Arabidopsis thaliana: one gene and its partners. The protein of the gene in region 1 purifies or fractionates together with the protein of each later gene. This does not show direct contact. Each region holds a gene or a part of one and is shown in the gene's direction. Other genes may lie near its edges.

Region 1 (6,061 bases):
CGCTTTTCAGTTTAGCTATAAAATTTACATGATTCGTTAATTTATTATATATATATCGAGACTAGTCCCTAAACTAAATACGTGTAAAAATGATTGAAAACAGGGGTCTGGATAATGCATTGTCATCTAGATGCACACATATCGTGGGGACTAGCCATGGCTTTTTTGGTTGAGAATGGAAATGGAGTTTTGCAGACAATAGAACAGCCTCCTCATGATTTGCCCGTTTGTTAGGAGTTCAAGAACTTTGTAACATAAAACCACATTATAGTTTTTCATGTTCTTCTATTCAATTGTTTTTTGTTGGTTATAGACGTAAACCGGGTCATACTCCTGAGTTGGCCCGGACCCTTCAGATTAAGTTTTCTCGATTATTGATGTATTCTTTTGACATTATAGTACCAAATCAAGTGCTAAGAGCCTAAGCATACGTATCATGAAAGTTTATTTTTTTCGTTTTTCTTTATGCTTAATTGACCCATTACTTCGATTTCTTTTTTTTTGTTAAAAGGTTTCATTCACTCGATTTGTGTATGACTAAGAGCATGAATTTGATATGTTAGAATTAGAATGAATGGTTGTTGAGCTAAATTCCTACTTATTTCCATAATCAGCTTAGAACTTTTGCGATCATAATAAACAACATAATTTGTTGGCGTAATATTTGCTGAGTCAATATTGAATGTTGAAGTTATAAAGAAAGAAACTTATCCTAATTCCATTTTGTTTTAAAACGCATTGCTATGAATTGATGAGTATTATTCTTTTACGTAACATTATTGAATTTGAACTTGAGAAGATGATAACGAAATTAATTGAAAAAGAATAAGTGAATATGACATCAAGAAAAAGTGGCCTGAAATTCCAAATTAGTTGAGCAGAAAAGTTTGGGGCAAAGTGATTTCCGACGCGGATTAATCATAACATCGACATTACTAGAAGAAACAAAAGTTGTCATGACTTTGTTATATTTTTGAGTACTCAGAGGGCTAATTTTATAACAAATGTAACAAATGATAATAATAATATAATTCTTACACATGCATGTTGCCACTAATCTACCGAAATATTAGAGTAGACAAGAAATTAACGTGTAATAATTTGTAAGAACTCCGATTGTCATATTTGATTTAATCCATACAAAAAGGTGAAAATCCAAACTAAATCTTACCGTAGAAAATAAAACTTAGGTCGCGAGTGTGAGCTTAGCTATAAACACGCAAAATATATAAAAGAATAATTGATCTTTTACATGATAGATATTCATAAATTTTTAAGGCATTTGCAAACCAATTAAATACTAAAATAAATAGCAAACTAAACTCATTTGTCATCTTAAAACCTAACATATATATTTTAAAATTCACTAACCAGATAATATCTATTATACAAATTTTAATAATTGTTAATTTATATTGGCGAAAATCATGATATATAACTATTATCAGACACTTTAGAATTGGATCAACCAAGAAGAATAAAAAAGTTTTAATCACAACCAAAAAGTCTATTTGTCGTTTTCACTTTTCACCATTCATCAAACACCACCACAAAGGTTTTAAATTTTTTCTTTTATCGTCTTCACGAAAGGCCCATTAGTATATAGGTCCATTATCTAAAACCCTAAATCTCTTGTTACGCATTCCCATGCCTTGTTCAATAAAAAATTATTCTCAGGCCCATTAGAGAGTTACGACTTCAACCTAAAACCCTAAATCTCTTGTTACGCATCCCCTTGCCTTCTTAAAACAAATTTCTTCTCAGGCCAAAACTCGCCTCTGGAAGCTCCGATGACGAAGAGGAGCAAAGGAGCTAACGAAGATAAGCTGATAGAAACCAAAAGCAAAAACGTTTCTGGAAAATCTCAGAAACAGAAGAAACCAGTAGAAGCAGAAAGCTTAAAAGAGGAAGACCTTCTACAAGCATCCGGAACTGATTCTGATTACGACGGAGATGTATTCTTCTTGCTCCTCTTCTCTTTTGTAACATCTTTATTCTGCATTTGATTTATTCTGGTTTTTTTTTTTTGGGTGATTTTTAGAGTTTGCCTGGTTCTTTGAATTCCGACGATTTCGACTCCGATTTTTCCGATTCAGAGGATGATGGAACACATGAAGGAACAGAAGATGGAGATGTAGAATTTTCCGATGACGACGACGTGCTTGGTACTTTTCTTACTCTGCTTTTCGTCTAAATTAGCTCAAATCTTAAATTTTTAGTGTTTATGCTTTTGAATTGAAGAAGCTAATTATAGTGTGTTAGAAAATACTTGCGGGAGTTTATAATGGGGGAATAAAGTTTCTAGCTTTAACATGGGAAAGTAAATTCAAGTAAGAGAGATTAACTATGTTAGGATATGTTGGTGCAGAGCATGATGGGTCAATTGATAACGAGGATGATGATGGAAGTGAACATGTAGGTAGTGACAATAATGAGGAACATGGGAGTGATGAAGATTCTGAGCGAGGTGAAGCGGTTGAAGAGAGCGATTCCTCAGAAGATGAGGTTTGATGCTTTTCTCTATCTCATATTGGTCTTGAATCTATCTTTCTCCATTTCCAGATGAAGTTATAGATATTTTTGTATCTTTAATCTGTAGGTTCCATCTAGAAATACAGTTGGGAATGTTCCCTTAAAGTGGTATGAAGATGAGAAACATATTGGTTATGACCTCACTGGGAAGAAGATTACTAAGAAAGAAAAACAAGATAAACTCGACTCTTTTCTTGCAACTATAGATGACTCTAAGACTTGGTCAGTATGAAGACTTTTCTGTTTGTTGGTATGTGGTTAGTTGGTGTCATAATGCTGATGAAAGTTTTTGGGGATTTAGGCGCAAAATTTATGATGAATATAATGACGAGGACGTTGAGCTGACTAAAGAGGAGAGCAAGATCGTTCAGAGAATACTCAAAGGGGAAGCTCCACATGCGGACTTTGATCCATATGCAGTACGTATCTGTTTTATGTGTAGCCGTTTTCTACTAATGTTATGCAAATCTCTTCAATTTGTGACCTTTTGATTGATTCTCTTGGGACCAGCCTTATGTTGAGTGGTTCAAACATGATGATGCAATACATCCACTCTCAAGTGCACCAGAGCCCAAGCGAAGATTCATCCCTTCAAAATGGGAGGCCAAAAAGGTTGTTAAGATTGTTAGAGCAATACGTAAGGGGTGGATCAAGTTTGATAAGCCTGAAGAAGAGCCCAATGTATACCTTTTATGGGGTGATGATTCGACATCTGATCAAAAGAGCAAGCATTTAACTTATATTCCTCCACCCAAGCTTAAATTGCCAGGTGAAAACTTTTCGCTGACTTTCTGTTGTTTCTCTTCCTCTCTTGGGAATTCCGTTTTCAAACTTTTAATTTGTACTATTTGGCTTTCCAGGACACGATGAATCATACAATCCTTCTTTGGAATATATTCCAACAGAGGAGGAGAAAGCCTCATATGAGTTGATGTTTGAGGAAGATCGTCCAAAATTCATTCCTACAAGGTATGTAACAGTTTCGCTTATTCTACTCTAATGTAGTTTCTTTGGTATTTGTCCGCTGAGCGTTTCAGTAAATATATCTGCGCATAGGTTTACATCTTTGAGAAGCATCCCTGCGTATGAGAATGCACTGAAGGAGTCTTTTGAGCGTTGTTTGGATCTATACCTATGTCCAAGAGTTCGAAAGAAGAGAGTGAGTACTTATCATCTCAGTTTTTGGTTTCTTCTTTGTTTTTCCCGTATTTTTTCTTACATTATGTTTCTTTTCTCCAGATAAACATCGACCCTGAATCTTTGAAGCCTAAGCTACCTAGTAGGAAGGATCTTAGACCTTATCCTAACTCCTGTTATCTTGAATATAAAGGCCATACAGGGGCTGTTACTTCAATATCCACTGATAGTTCTGGCGAGTGGATAGCCTCAGGTATTTCATTATTTTTTTTTTTTTTCAATGAGGTCTCTTTTGTTTTCAAGATGCTAATCTTGTATTCTTTTTTCCTTCAAAGGTTCAACTGATGGATCTGTCCGTATGTGGGAAGTGGAGACTGGTAGATGCCTTAAGGTCTGGCAGTTTGACGAAGCTATCATGTGTGTGGCTTGGAATCCTCTTTCCAGGCTTCCAGTTTTAGCCGTTGCCATGTGAGTGAGGATCTTGTGAATATGCTTTTGAATTTATTATAATTGTCTGTTGTGAAACCTTCTCATCTCACATTGCAGGGGACGAGATTTGTTTTTTCTGAACACTGAACTTGGGACTGATGAGGAACAGGAAATTACTAAAGAGAGGCTTCACTCAGGAAACATCCCAGAACCAGACGCATCTGGTAAGTGGCTTGGAATAACTGCCATCATCTCGTATGTAATTGTGATGAAATTCCAAATGATTAAATCTTTTTGGTTGGTATGTTTTGCACGACTTCATAGTTGCAGCAATTGTAACCTGGCTACCTGATGAGTTATATGGAGGGATTAAGATAAGACATTTTAAGGTACACTTTTGCAAAAGATTCTCCTTTTAACAGTTATTACATAAGGAAAATCTTAAACTGGTTTGTTTACTTTCAGAGCATATCGTCTATTGACTGGCATCGTAAAGGAGACTATCTCTCAACAGTGATGGCATCCGGGGAAACACGGGGAGTGGTATTGCACCAACTGTCAAAACAGAAAACACAAAGGCTCCCATTTAAGATTCGTGGACTTCCAGTCTGTACACTTTTTCATCCCAGCCTTTCTTACTTCTTCGTTGCGACAAGAAAGGACGTGCGTGTTTACAATCTTTTGAAGCCAGGCGAGGCCACCAAAAAGCTTGAGACAGGATTGAGAGAAATCTCATCAATGGCGATTCATCCTGGTGGTGATAATCTGATAGTAGGAAGCAAAGAAGGGAAGATGTGTTGGTTTGACATGGATCTATCTTCGAAACCATACAAGACTCTCAAGAATCATCCTAAAGACATTACAAATGTGGCAGTTCATCGATCATATCCGTTATTTGCTTCGTGCTCGGAGGATTCAACAGCTTATGTTTTCCATGGAATGGTGTATAATGATCTGAACCAGAATCCTCTGATTGTGCCATTGGAGATTCTAAGAGGTCATTCTTCAAAAGGAGGTCAGTTTTTACAGTGTATTTGATTCTTACAAGAATACACTATCGCATATTAACTTGTAAGATCGTTTATATTAATGTGTTTTGATTATTTTTTATGACTGCAGGAGTCTTGGACTGCAAGTTTCATCCGAGACAACCATGGCTATTCACTGCAGGCGCTGACTCTATTATCAAACTCTATTGCCACTAGATTGGTCGCAAACCATATTTTGACAATTTTCATCTCTTTTCTTCTTTGTTGTATTCACCACCTTTACTCAAATATTGTATCGTACAATTTTGTTATACTGGATTTATTATTGAGATTTCTAACTTGTAGCACTTCCAAAATGGTAAAGTCCAAAATCTTATTGTATCGATTTATTTGGCAGCGTTGGTTAAGTTGTGGCAAGTCCTTAAACCCAAATGTTGATTTGATAGTTTTTTAACGTTCACTCACAAGCGCCACGTCATCACCGAAATATCTGAAATATCTAATAAAGGCTTCTTCTTTCACAAATCCCAAACCTTTTTTTTTCTCTGCTAACGAAAAAAGCCATCTTCTTTGCTACTACTAATCTACTATTACACTGAATCGTTTGGGTTCTTCTTCTTCTTCAGCTGCTACTTTGTTCGAGTGATTGCTGACATGCCGTCAGCGTCGGAGATTGTTGACAGGTTTGTTTGTCCGTTTTTTTTGTTTTTGTTTTCCCGCTTGTGTATGTGTGCTAATTGTTCATTGTTAAAGATTTTGTTTTTACAGGATTGTTGTTGTTTTTGAGTGGTATCAAGTTCCTTAAAGTAACTTCTTTTGTTTGTTTAGTAGTTGAAAGCTAGAAGGTTTTCACTTTAGGGTTTTTGGGGTTTTTCGTAGACAGAAATTTGTTAATTTTGGGCACAATTTGTCTCTTTTGGATTACGTTCTGTGCGATTTGTGGCTTCGAGTTCGTGTGGGGTTAAGAGACTTGG
Region 2 (5,688 bases), on another chromosome or scaffold:
GCTGTTGTTAAGTGCACGGGAACGATTTAGGATTTATGTAAGCAAAAATAGTTCGTAGTTAACAAAGTTTGACCACCACTCTTTTACCAAAAAAACAAAATTGACCACTCCACCACTTTTAGCAAAAAGTAAGTAATCTCGAGAAGGAAAAAAACAAAAGTCATTAGTATGGGTTAAAAACTTAAATACATGTACTAATCAACAAGAAAATAAATTTGGTGATTTTATTATATAAAGTATGGTTTTCAAAGTTGCTAACTCATAGGATTGTGCCACGTGTCAAGTCAAACGATCAGATGTTTACATGTGTCATTCAAAATTTAACTTTTTAATTCTCTAAAAAAATAGAAAATCTTAAAAAGTAAACAAATTTACATATACTAATTTATATGTCTATATATTTATAAACAATTAACATTTATTCAACAAAAGGAAAATTAACAAATTTGTCTTTAACTCATGTAATCATAAGTGAAAATAGAACATTTTGAGAAAAATAGCTTAGCTTACAGGACTTAACTTTTCAATTATTTTTATTTATTAATTTTAACTCATTTAATATTAATTTGCATGATGTAAAATTAACTTACGAGATTACGGCATATATAGAAAATATATTTTCAACAATGTTTGGTTTCTAAATATTTTTGTGGATTTTTTTTATATTAATTATTAGCCCTAGGCGTTTGGGTTTTCGGGTCGGGTATTTAGGGTTCGGGTTTTCGGGTTTAGAAGTTTAGGACCCGTTCGGGTAATTTAAGGTTTCGGGACATTTATTCAACAAAAAGAAAATTAACAAATTTGTCTTTAACTCATGTAATCATAAGTGAAAATAAAACATTTTGAGAAAAATAGTTTAGCTTACAGGATTTAACTTTTCAATTATTTTCATTTATTAACTTTAACTCATTTAATATTAATTTGCATGATGTAAAATTAACTTACGAGATTACGCCATATATAGAAAATATATTTTTTAACAATGTTTGGTTTCTAAATTTTTTTGTGGATTTCTTTTTTCTATTAATTATTAGCCCTGGGCGTTTGGGTATTCAGGTCGGGTATTTCGGGTTAGGGTTTTCGGGTTTAGAAGTTTAGGACCCGTTCGGGTAATTTAAGATTCCGGGTCGGGTTCGGGTTCGGATTCGAGTTTATTTATATATTGAAATATCAAATTTTGTGTGCAAATCTATTAAATTACTTGAAAATTTCAAAAATTCCCAAAACAACACGAGTAGTTTTGCTTGAATATATCTAAAATGACACAAAAATAACTAAAATATCCAAATAATCCTAATATTTTCTATATATAAGTATAAATATAACTAATATATACTTATATTTGAAATATGTTTGGATATCTATTCGGGTTCGGGTTCGAGTTTTTCGGGTTTTGAAGTTTAGACCCGTTCAAGTATTTGAAAATTTTCGGTACACCCGCCTAAATAGGCGGGCCTTATCTAGTGTTTATATAAAAGATAAGAAAAATATTTTACTCGGTTCAGTTTGATTATTTCAATTTTCTTTGGTTTGGTTTGGTTTGGTTTATATAAAAGTATAAACAGAGGCCTGAGCCGGCCCATCTTAAAGATCCAAATGCTTTGGGCCCAAAATTGATCTCTTCTCACTCGTCGAACCACATATTTCTCTGGTTTGAGTAGCCTCGGTATGATCTAAACCGGAAAAGGAGGTCAATTCCGTAATTTTAAATTTCCTTAAACCCTGTGCCTGGGTGAAATTTCCACACTTCATCGCCTCAAGGCAGAACCCTAATTTATCTCCGCGTCTTCTTTTTGCTCAGTAACAGGCCATCGGAGAAGTTAAGAGGCTAAAATGGATATCGACGGAGAAGATGTATCTAGAAGACTTCACGTTAAGTTCGTGACGAAGCTTGACTCTCCCTTCAAAGTTCCGGTCAACTCCGTCGCAATCCCTTCTAATGTCACTCGTCTCGGCCTCTCTTCCATCGTCAATTCTATTATCGAATCCGGTAGCCTTTTCTCTCCATCTCTCCCTGCAGTTTCGAATGCTAGTATTTATTCGTCTTTGTCTTTAAATTTGTCAAATCCTAAGTGTTACTTGGAATAGTGGTCTCTTTCTCATACGAGAGTTTGTTAGGTCTGCTTAGGAACTTGTTTGTACTTATGAATTAGAGAGCTTACATAAAAGCATATATTATTGTTCTACCTGTGATTATGCAATATTCATCACTGAGACTTTTTGGATGAACAGAGAATCCAGAGTGGAAAACTGAGCCGTTTGATTTCCTTATTGATGGGGAGCTTATTCGGATGTCACTCGAAGAGTTTCTTCTTGCAAAGGGAATATCGGCGGTAATGTGTTTCATCTTAATCTTCCACTATTCACACCAGCTAGTGTACTTGGAATTAGTCCATAGTGCTTTATCTTGGAAACATATACTTAATTAAGTTCATTGGTTCTTACAGGAGCGTACTCTTGAAATCGAATACATAAGGGCTGTGACACCACGGAAGGAAGAAGAACCCTCCTTGCATGATGATTGGGTCAGTGCGGTTAATGGTTCTTCTCCCAGGTAATATTTTTTCCTACTGCATTACTTTATGATGTAGAATTTCCTTTAAGCTGCTAGATGTCTTTTACTATTTCTTCTGTGACACCAGTAATTTGAATTAAAAACTCTTATTCATTTTTACGCACAACCACCTTGCCATATGGAAAATCATAGACCTGTATCTTTGTTTAATATATTCGACTGCCATATCATATGTTGTTAGAATTAGTCTTCATTTGTTCCAATTCAAGGCCATCCAGTGATCCGGATGATATCTAAGGATGAATATAGTCATTTGTTCTTGGTTTTAATGATTGTGTTAGTGGTTCTCTTGATCTCGCTGTTGTTATTTGCAGGTTCATTTTGACTGGGTGCTATGACGGATTAGGAAGGTGATCATTTGACTTATTTATTTAATCTTATATGCTTTTGATTATTTTCTATCCTTTTGTATTGCTTTCAAAATTTGCAAGAATCTTAGATTACTTGGTTTTTCTTCTGATCAGGGTATGGAGTTCGGCTGGATCGTGTTCACACATATTAGAAGGCCACTCCGGGGCTATCTCCTCTGTTGCTTTAGTTAATTCCAACGGTATGACCATCGCATGAGAAATCTATACTATGCCTGTTCTGTACTAGCAAATGATACTAACAAGAATAAATTTTCCCTTTTTTGGCTCATTGATCAATTCTTTGTTTTTCTTTGTGTTGATTTGTGCATCCAGATGCAGAAACTGTTACTGTAGCCACTGCCTCTAAAGATCGGACATTGAGATTGTTTAAGGTAATCACGGATGAGATATCATACTTAAAACCAAAGGTTTATTTTACGTCTAAGTAAAGATATCTCTCCCTGTCTGAAGTTTGATCCAGCTGAGTCTGTTGACTCTACTACGAAAGTAAGGGCATACAAGATATTGCGTGGACACAAGGCGTCAGTTCAAAGTGTTTCAGCTCAGAAATCCGGAAACATGGTTTGCTGTTACTCCTTTCACTTAACTTGTGTTTTGCAAGTATAATTTTGTTGCTATATTTCTTCGAGCTAAGCTGACCCCCTTTTTTTGTTGTATAATGGAATTTAGGTTTGCTCGAGTTCATGGGATTGCACCATCAATTTATGGAACACAAATGAATCTACTTCAGAAGGGGAGTCAGTATCAGTAAAGAAAAGAAAAGGAAATAATCAGGCCGAGGAATCTCAGTCAGAGGTACCGGATAATATGCATTCTTTTGAAACGTACTATCTACTCTTCAAATCAAAATAGAGAAATGTACTCCCAGTTGTGTTTTTCTGAGTTCCAAGTGTCTGATATCAATTACGATATTGAACTTCTTACAGGGAGAGGCAGTGACTTCTTTGGTTGGACACACACAGTGTGTATCATCAGTTGTTTGGCCAGAGCATGATGTAATTTATTCCTCTTCGTGGGACCATTCCGTTAGGAGATGGGATGTTGAGACAGGGAAAGATTCTTTGAACTTGGTATGCCTTCTCTCTCTCCTTTTCTTTCGTAAATATTAGGGCACACACCAGACATGTTGTTGCCGAAAAATCAGTGCTTTTGAAGTTGTTTTCGCCGGAAACTTAAAGCCGGTTTGTTTCTGTGAAATTGTAGTTCTGTGGAAAAGCTCTCAACACGGTAGATGTTGGTGGTGAAAGTTCTGCCCTTATAGCTGCTGGTGGCTCAGATCCAATCCTTAGAGTATGGGATCCTCGTAAGCCAGGTGATAGATCCATATGAACACACACCAAGTCAATATAACCAGACCGGTTTTTTATTACACAGTTGATAAACTGTCTTCATTTACTCTGTAGGAACATCCGCTCCCGTGTTTCAGTTCTCTTCACACTCATCATGGATTTCCGCCTGTAAGTGGCACAAAAGCTCTTGGTTTCACTTGCTCTCCGCTTCCTACGACGGCAAAATCATGCTCTGGGATCTCAGAACCGCTGTAATGACAAAGCACACACACTCCTTTCCGTTATAACCCACGGTTTTCTATCTTTAAAAACTAATCTTCTTCCTCCTTTTGCAGTGGCCTTTGTCAGTAATTGATACACACAATGACAAGGTAAAGTAAACACAATGTTATCTTCCAGCTTCTACTCTTTTAGTTCTTCTTGTTACTGAAATGGTATAAAACAACTTGGTTTTAAAGGTTTTATCTGCTGACTGGTGGAAAGGAGAGAGTGTAGTCAGCGGAGGAGCAGACTCTAACTTGCGAATTTCTTCCGGAATCGCAATTTCTTAAAAGGTATGAAATCCGAAATCTTTTGACCATTTCTTTTCTTACATGAAATGTGGAGCAATGAAACATTTACTCAGTTCCGTACGATGTCTGAGAAAATTCGATTCTTTTCTTACTCAGAAACACAAACGATTCATGATCCTGGAATGAGACTGTTGTAAGTTCTGCTGAATAGAGCTTATTGTCTTCAAGGTTGTATACTCTTCATATTCCGAAATGTTAAATCTTAATTATACTTTTGGTGGGAAGCAAATTTTGTTTTTATTGTCTGATAACGACCATTTAAAATCAAGAGCTATTTACTTATGTTGTCTGCCGTGCTAAATACTAAATTAGTTTGCTTTTCTTTGGCCGAAAAATAAAATAGCATCAACTACAAAACTCTACTATCTTCGTTCCCCAATAATACAATTCCAAACCATGTGCTGAAAATTATCGAATACATTGGCAAAAAAGGACTATATTAAATAATTCCCAATCAAAAGTTAATCTTGCCATCGTAAGGTTGTTTGAAGTTTGAACTGCCAATTAGGTGGAGCAACATCATGAAAGCCCAAACATTTCCTATCACTTGTAGTGACATTATAGGACAAACTCTCTCCGGTTAGCTTCAAATTAGTATCCCAATCCTGTCCCCAATGCCAATGCATCTGAAACCAACCACCTCTCTTCGAACCTTCCACCTTAAGCTACATCACCAACATGTTCAACGTTGTAAACAAAAACCATCAAGAAATAAGGATATATCTTCCTAAGCGTTTTGAATATTGGGACCGATGAACTCGATCTCGACTCGGTTTGGATCAATCTCATCGGTCCCAATATTGAATGAGCTAATAGAGGTTCTTTCAAAAGAGCTTTTAGACACCAATTATCTAAGCTTTTCCAAAGATGCAACAATATAC
Region 3 (5,836 bases), on another chromosome or scaffold:
GCCCAATAAACAACAGGCCCAAGCGCAGACCCTAAACAACTCTCAGCTCCAACGGTCATCTCCTGCAAAAGAAGACAAAACCAAAAGTACATCAAGATTGGATCAAAGGACAAAAACAAGGAGCTGTGCTGGAAAAGAAGGAGTGGTTTTACAAAACTGTTTTGACTGTCTAGGATCAATAGAGACCTGACATGTGTCAGTGAAAACCCTAGTGTCACTAAGATTATAATGCCTATGAAAGGAAACATGATGTAATCTTAAACCCTAAAGAGAATAATCAAGAGAAATGAAATTTATCTTCTTTATATTTAGCCTTTGAGCATCTTTACTTTCATTGGTTAAGAGAACACTGAAAGCAACAATTCATATGTATAAAAATCTGAAAAAATAATTCAACATTCTAATTCATTAAACGTAGGATTTACAAAAGTCCCACTTTGTCTCCCATTTTTAGTCATCGTTCATGATGGTTGTATGCGAATAGTTTGATGAACAACTATAATTATTACATTTAGTTTGTTTCCAACGAGCCATATGTCAATGTTTGTTACGCTACAATTTTTATTTTTCTTATTTCTTAAACTTTTTACTTTGGAATAAGTTGATATGTATATGAATCATCTACCATTTCTCGTTTTTTCACAATAAATCCTAAATTTTTTGAACATTTTGTCTATATATAACTTTTCCATGACATAAATTAACCTTAGATAATATTGTATCTAAAGGTATAAACTACCGTTCCAAGTCTGATTAAACTATTGACCCTAAACATTTTTAAAACTGTTAGATCCACAAGACGCACAACTAGTTGATTGCATAGTCTTTTGAAACAAGACAAACAAACACTATATCAAAACAATATCATCTTTCTAATTTTATTTTAGTTATGTCGCTATCTATATGAACGATTTTCCGATAAGCTAGTCATATGCAAAAGATTTATAAAAAAAGTAATATGTTGACGAGGAAAGTGATAGATTGATAAATTAAGAACATAAATGTTTTTGAAAAGAAATTATAGCTAAACTGTCATAAAATAAAATTATAAAATAGATTAACTTATATATAATAGAAGCAACTTCAGTTTTTTAAAACATTCATGGAATTAACGATGGATATCGAAGTTTATTGGTCAACCTAAAATCATACCCATACATTTTAGTATTTATTGGACGACCTCAAAAATCAAAGTCATTGTCGACCATTGTAATACAGTTAATGTCGCATACTATGCCTCTGAATCATCCATCCATATTTTGTTAAAACGAAGTGAGTTTGTTAACTACAAAATTTCCAATTATTGGACTATACATTATATTTTGTTTATCCACAGGGTTTTTCACATAAATTAAGAAAATACAAAATACTTAAGATCTTGAAAAATTATGTAAGTTATTTTCTTGCCGTCTCATTTTATTAAAGATAAAACAGAAAAAATAAACAAACAGGCCGAGGCCCAACAAGGTCAAGGCCTAGTCCAAGAAGCGAAACCCAAACATGGAGGAAGAGAATGAGAGGAGTCATCACAGAGCCAGGTGTTACGAAGAAAGTGAAACTACAAGTACAAGCATATAGTACTAAGTACTAGTCGCAATTTGGTCACAGACATAATTTCCTCGAAAACTGGGTACATTGTAATATTTCGTCGGAAAAACGTCGCAAAATCTAATTTTTAATCGCCGAGTAAGATGTTTGCGTCTTCTCAGAATCTCCGTGAGTTGAAGGAAAATGATTCGCGGCGGAAGAAACAACATTACTTCCGCTCCGGCGTTTTCGAAAGACGCAAAGAAGCTTCTTTTATGCACAGCCAACACCGTCTCTGTTTACAGCGTCGCCACTGGCTTAAAGGTTTTATCTCTCGACTCGAGCATCCTTCCTTTTAGGGTTTCCCTCTAATCTTCTTCTCTCATTAGCGTATGCGTGTGTGTGTTTTTAAGATTACTTCACTCGAGGATCATACAGCGCCTGTGACGTCTGTGATTGTTGATCCGTCTTCCGACGAAACCGTCAGTTACTGTTGGACTTCGTCGCTCGATGGGAAAATTCGGATTTGGGAGTTCTCTGCGCCGAAGCTTTTGAAGATATTTGATACCCACCTTCCAATTCACTCTCTGGTCTGTTAAAGTTCCATACTTTGCAGCTTATAAACAAAAATTTGATAACTTTCAATTGCCCTTTTCTAAGTGTCTGTTGGGACTTTGTAGGTGATGATTCCAGCTCAAGTGTCACATTCCGTGATTGCTTATGTTTCGGTTGAGGACTATTCAAGTGTGTCCAAAGATTTGTTTGGACAAATCCGGAGATATGATCTCACTCAAGACCCTCTTCATAGTGGAGACACTTTGAAAGAGGTCAGATTTGTGGATTAACCATTTTTCGATTAGCCTCATGTTTGATTCTATAATCATTTTTGTTAATGTGCAGATGGAAGAACCAAAACCTATTGTTTTAAGTCCCTCTGGAGAGTTTTTCGGCGTCTGTCATAACTGCAGTATACATATATGGAATGTGGCATCAGAGCACCTCATGCCAAAGGAGACGACATTACATCATACAGAGTTGATTACTGTTTTTGCTTTCCATCCCAATCAGAGAATATTAGCAGCCGGTGATGTAACAGGAAGAGTGTTAATTTGGAAGGATAATGGTATTGGAGAATTTACTTCAGTGAAAACTGAAGATGATACTGAATCTTGCACTACTTTCAACTGGCACAGCGCTGAAGTAACCGTCCTTAATTTCTCTTCAGATGGAGCACTTTTGTATTCTGGTGAGTCTGAGTTATTTTTTCATCATAGTGACTGTATCTCTGTGTGTTGATAAGGAATTCATGTTTCTTATATATATATATATTGAGTTCTTATGCTATATTTCCTTTGCTTGTGACTCTTTTAGGGGTAAAGGCAGGTGATTTTGTTGTTTGGGAGCTAGGTACAGGGAAGAAGCAACTTTTGCCAAAGATTGGATCTCCCTTGTTGTATTTCATCTTCTCTTCAGATTCAACTCTTTCTTCTGTAAGAGTTTTTCCGTTTACAACAACCGTAGAAAGCAAATGAAGTGTTTCATTAACTCTACTAAGATCAAGAATTTTCAGGTGATTTGTGCAGATAATCAAATTCATCTTCTTAAAATGCCTTCCATGGAGATATTGAGAACGATATCTGGAATCAAGGTTCGTTCTTACTATCATCCGAAATTTTTCCTTGTTATTGTTGGTTTAAGCATGCTCATATTGTATACCGTTTCTGTTGGAGTTAACTTCACATGCATATTGTGTTCTTTACTATGTAATAGCCTCCGACACCAGAGCGTCACGGGTTTATATGCTACGTCAAAACGCGGGATATATGCCTCACCAGAACTGTATCCATTGATCGTTCTTCCGGTATAGCTGCTTTCTGCACAGCGAATCATCGTGTTCAACTCTACAACCTTTTAAGTGACCATGACATTTCAGAGGTTAGCTTCCCAAAAGGCTTATTGAGTTTTGTATCTGATAGTTGTATGATTTTACTATTTAACAAACCTAACATATGCAGGTTCAAATTTGCGATCATCATCCAGACGATGATGATCAAGTCCGGGTTAGTACATTTTGTTTCTTCTCTGTAAGATGACATAGTTGTTACTAGTAAAAGATCCGCTCTCTTTCTGTTTTGTAATAATTTGAAGAATTATGGAAAATAGGTTCTCGTGACTGCGGTTGCTCTCTCTCGGAATGGCTCAGTAATGACTACAGCTGAGGCCAGATTTGCTGCAAGCAATTTCAGTGAAGGCATAGTTTCTCTCAAGTTTTGGGTATTTGTACCGGACAGCAAAACTTTCAGCTTATCGACAGTCATAAATCAACCTCACAGGTTTTTACTTCAATGTTCTTATAAACTTTTAAACTCCTTGATTCTCATCGTGAGTGTAACTTTTGATCCTTCTGTATTCTCACAGGGAAGCTGCAATTACAGCCATTGCCCTTAACCCCGCCCGTTCCATGGCTGTTAGTATATCTTCTGCTGGGGACTTCAAGGTAGGATTACAGAGTAGTGAAAAATGGATCATTTCCTTGGAATATCGTTTGACCTTTTGTGTTACTGATATGACTTTATGTCTGTCAAGATTTGGGTTTGCAGTAGCGACAAGAATCTGACACCTGAGGACTCAAACTGGATTTGTCATGGAGTTGGCTCTTATAAGTAAAAGATTAGGAACCTTTTAACATCTCTCATTACTTAGTCGTTGTGATGTCAAATGAAATTGATGTAATATTTTTCAGGAGAACGCCAATAACAGCTGCTGTTTTTTCCGGGGATGGTTCTTGTCTGGCTCTTGCGGCTAAAACAGTTATTACGATCTGGCACCCGTTAAAGAACGAACTCCTGTATGTAGTTGGAAAGGCAAATGCGGTAAGACTTGTATAACACACAAAAGCAATTCCATGTTCATTAGTTACAGTCATTGTTGAAATCTTAAATGATATGTAAATGTTTCAGCCAATTATGGAACTCTCATTCACTGGAGGAGGCTTCCTTATTGCTGCATCCCATGGTTCCACACCGCACTTATCTGTCTGGGATCTGATGACGTTCTGCTTATCATGGTCATATAGATTATACATAGAAGGTTTATTATTTATCTTTTTGATCATGAAATCTTGATTTTTTTGGTTGTCTAAGTATATTTCATTTTTCCTGTTTATTTGCAGCCATTGCTACTGAAGTGGACTCACCATACTTTGCAGTTTTAACATGGCTTCCAGAATCTGATAGGTTGGTAAAATCTAACGAACAGATATTCCGCGGGAAAGATGGTGCTATCCTCTTGTTTGATGGGTCAGGCCCTAAACCAGTAGCTATTTGGACTGTAATGAAGGTATATACTCTAAGGAAGGATTAATCAAAGTTCTCTCATTGCCGTTAAGAGACTTGATTACAATGTTTATTGCAGGCCAGAGGAGGAACACTTTCATTTGTGGAAGATGGTAAAAAGTCTCAGCCGCTTCTCGCGTATGTAAACAGGAGCCATGAATATGTTCTATTTGATCCTTATAGCGATGAAAAACTCGAGACTAGCGCCATAGATTATGAAGTTTTTCTTGCAGCAATAAGCAAAAAGAAGAAGAGATCTAGGAAGAAAGCATTGATGTCAGAGAAACCTTGGGAAACAATGTTTTGTGGATCAACACTCAATTTCCCGCCTTTCCCCGACTTGTGCGCTTCGTTCTTCAGTTCCCGGATGCAGAAAGAGGTGTGTGAGAGAGCAGATAGACAACCTGAAAGACATAGCTCTTGAGAGACCCCATATTTTGGAACCCAACTTGGATAACATCATTTTGTTGGTAGCCTTTTTGTTAGAGATACAATCTGATTCCTTCAGCTACTAAAAGGGTTGTTTTGATATTAAAAGGGCTTCATTCATCATGTAGAACCTGCTGATTTGAGGTGTATAAACCAATTCTCTCTTTAATACGTAAAAAAGTAAGGTCAATTGTAACGTATGGAAAAAGAAGAAGCTAAAACAGAGTAGTGGACGATAAATTATATTTAAAATTGTGACTGAAACATAATTTAACAAATTGAAAAACATAAATCGAAAGCAATTTGTGTTTTAAAGATCGTAGTCCGCAAGGTTGAGTGGGTTGCAAGTATCCTAAGTCGTATGTGGTCAAGCAGGAGGATTCATGGAGGCTGCAGGAGGAGACATCATCGGTAGGAGGGTCTCGGGGTCAAAGCCGTTGGCTCGTAGTAAGACATCTTGCGCTCGCTTCATCGCAAGCATGTTGTTGATGACGTTGTTGGAGAAGGTGCGGAATTCAGCCTCCAAAATGGTGACCCGCATATCC

Evidence for each region. Proteins that work in one complex are often made in the same cells at the same time.
Region 2: the proteins of AT2G40360 (region 1) and AT5G15550 fractionate together in Arabidopsis thaliana (co-fractionation; one large-scale study listed by BioGRID). This does not show direct contact.
Region 3: the proteins of AT2G40360 (region 1) and AT3G26480 fractionate together in Arabidopsis thaliana (co-fractionation; one large-scale study listed by BioGRID). This does not show direct contact.

What each region holds. Positions count from the first base shown.
Region 1 is NC_003071.7:16,852,365-16,858,425, reverse strand, and holds AT2G40360 (Transducin/WD40 repeat-like superfamily protein), read left to right. Parts: upstream 1-1,654; 5' UTR 1,655-1,790; coding exon 1,791-1,955; intron 1,956-2,041; coding exon 2,042-2,165; intron 2,166-2,368; coding exon 2,369-2,505; intron 2,506-2,599; coding exon 2,600-2,754; intron 2,755-2,833; coding exon 2,834-2,951; intron 2,952-3,042; coding exon 3,043-3,301; intron 3,302-3,392; coding exon 3,393-3,501; intron 3,502-3,588; coding exon 3,589-3,691; intron 3,692-3,771; coding exon 3,772-3,922; intron 3,923-4,004; coding exon 4,005-4,137; intron 4,138-4,215; coding exon 4,216-4,322; intron 4,323-4,422; coding exon 4,423-4,487; intron 4,488-4,563; coding exon 4,564-5,113; intron 5,114-5,217; coding exon 5,218-5,303; 3' UTR 5,304-5,546; downstream 5,547-6,061. Other genes in the region: LAC5 (laccase 5), read left to right, coding at 104-234; AT2G40350 (Integrase-type DNA-binding superfamily protein), read left to right, coding at 5,742-5,770. UniProt on the Arabidopsis thaliana protein: Required for maturation of ribosomal RNAs and formation of the large ribosomal subunit. Plays an essential role in cell growth and survival through its regulation of ribosome biogenesis and mitotic progression.
Region 2 is NC_003076.8:5,058,149-5,063,836, reverse strand, and holds AT5G15550 (Transducin/WD40 repeat-like superfamily protein), read left to right. Parts: upstream 1-1,692; 5' UTR 1,693-1,833; coding exon 1,834-1,990; intron 1,991-2,232; coding exon 2,233-2,333; intron 2,334-2,447; coding exon 2,448-2,554; intron 2,555-2,889; coding exon 2,890-2,925; intron 2,926-3,039; coding exon 3,040-3,125; intron 3,126-3,258; coding exon 3,259-3,317; intron 3,318-3,396; coding exon 3,397-3,507; intron 3,508-3,615; coding exon 3,616-3,741; intron 3,742-3,872; coding exon 3,873-4,016; intron 4,017-4,149; coding exon 4,150-4,258; intron 4,259-4,349; coding exon 4,350-4,486; coding exon of another isoform or gene 4,487-4,522; exon of another isoform or gene 4,523-4,570; coding exon 4,571-4,606; intron 4,607-4,693; coding exon 4,694-4,786; 3' UTR 4,787-4,789; exon of another isoform or gene 4,790-4,903; 3' UTR 4,904-5,138; downstream 5,139-5,688. UniProt on the Arabidopsis thaliana protein: Required for maturation of ribosomal RNAs and formation of the large ribosomal subunit.
Region 3 is NC_003074.8:9,686,723-9,692,558, reverse strand, and holds AT3G26480 (Transducin family protein / WD-40 repeat family protein), read left to right. Parts: upstream 1-1,592; 5' UTR 1,593-1,731; coding exon 1,732-1,851; intron 1,852-1,940; coding exon 1,941-2,117; intron 2,118-2,207; coding exon 2,208-2,354; intron 2,355-2,427; coding exon 2,428-2,773; intron 2,774-2,898; coding exon 2,899-3,017; intron 3,018-3,097; coding exon 3,098-3,175; intron 3,176-3,297; coding exon 3,298-3,462; intron 3,463-3,542; coding exon 3,543-3,587; intron 3,588-3,690; coding exon 3,691-3,860; intron 3,861-3,945; coding exon 3,946-4,024; intron 4,025-4,113; coding exon 4,114-4,190; intron 4,191-4,270; coding exon 4,271-4,400; intron 4,401-4,487; coding exon 4,488-4,617; intron 4,618-4,699; coding exon 4,700-4,866; coding exon of another isoform or gene 4,867-4,890; intron 4,891-4,916; exon of another isoform or gene 4,917-4,941; coding exon 4,942-5,286; downstream 5,287-5,836. Other genes in the region: AT3G26470 (Powdery mildew resistance protein, RPW8 domain-containing protein), read right to left, coding at 5,659-5,836.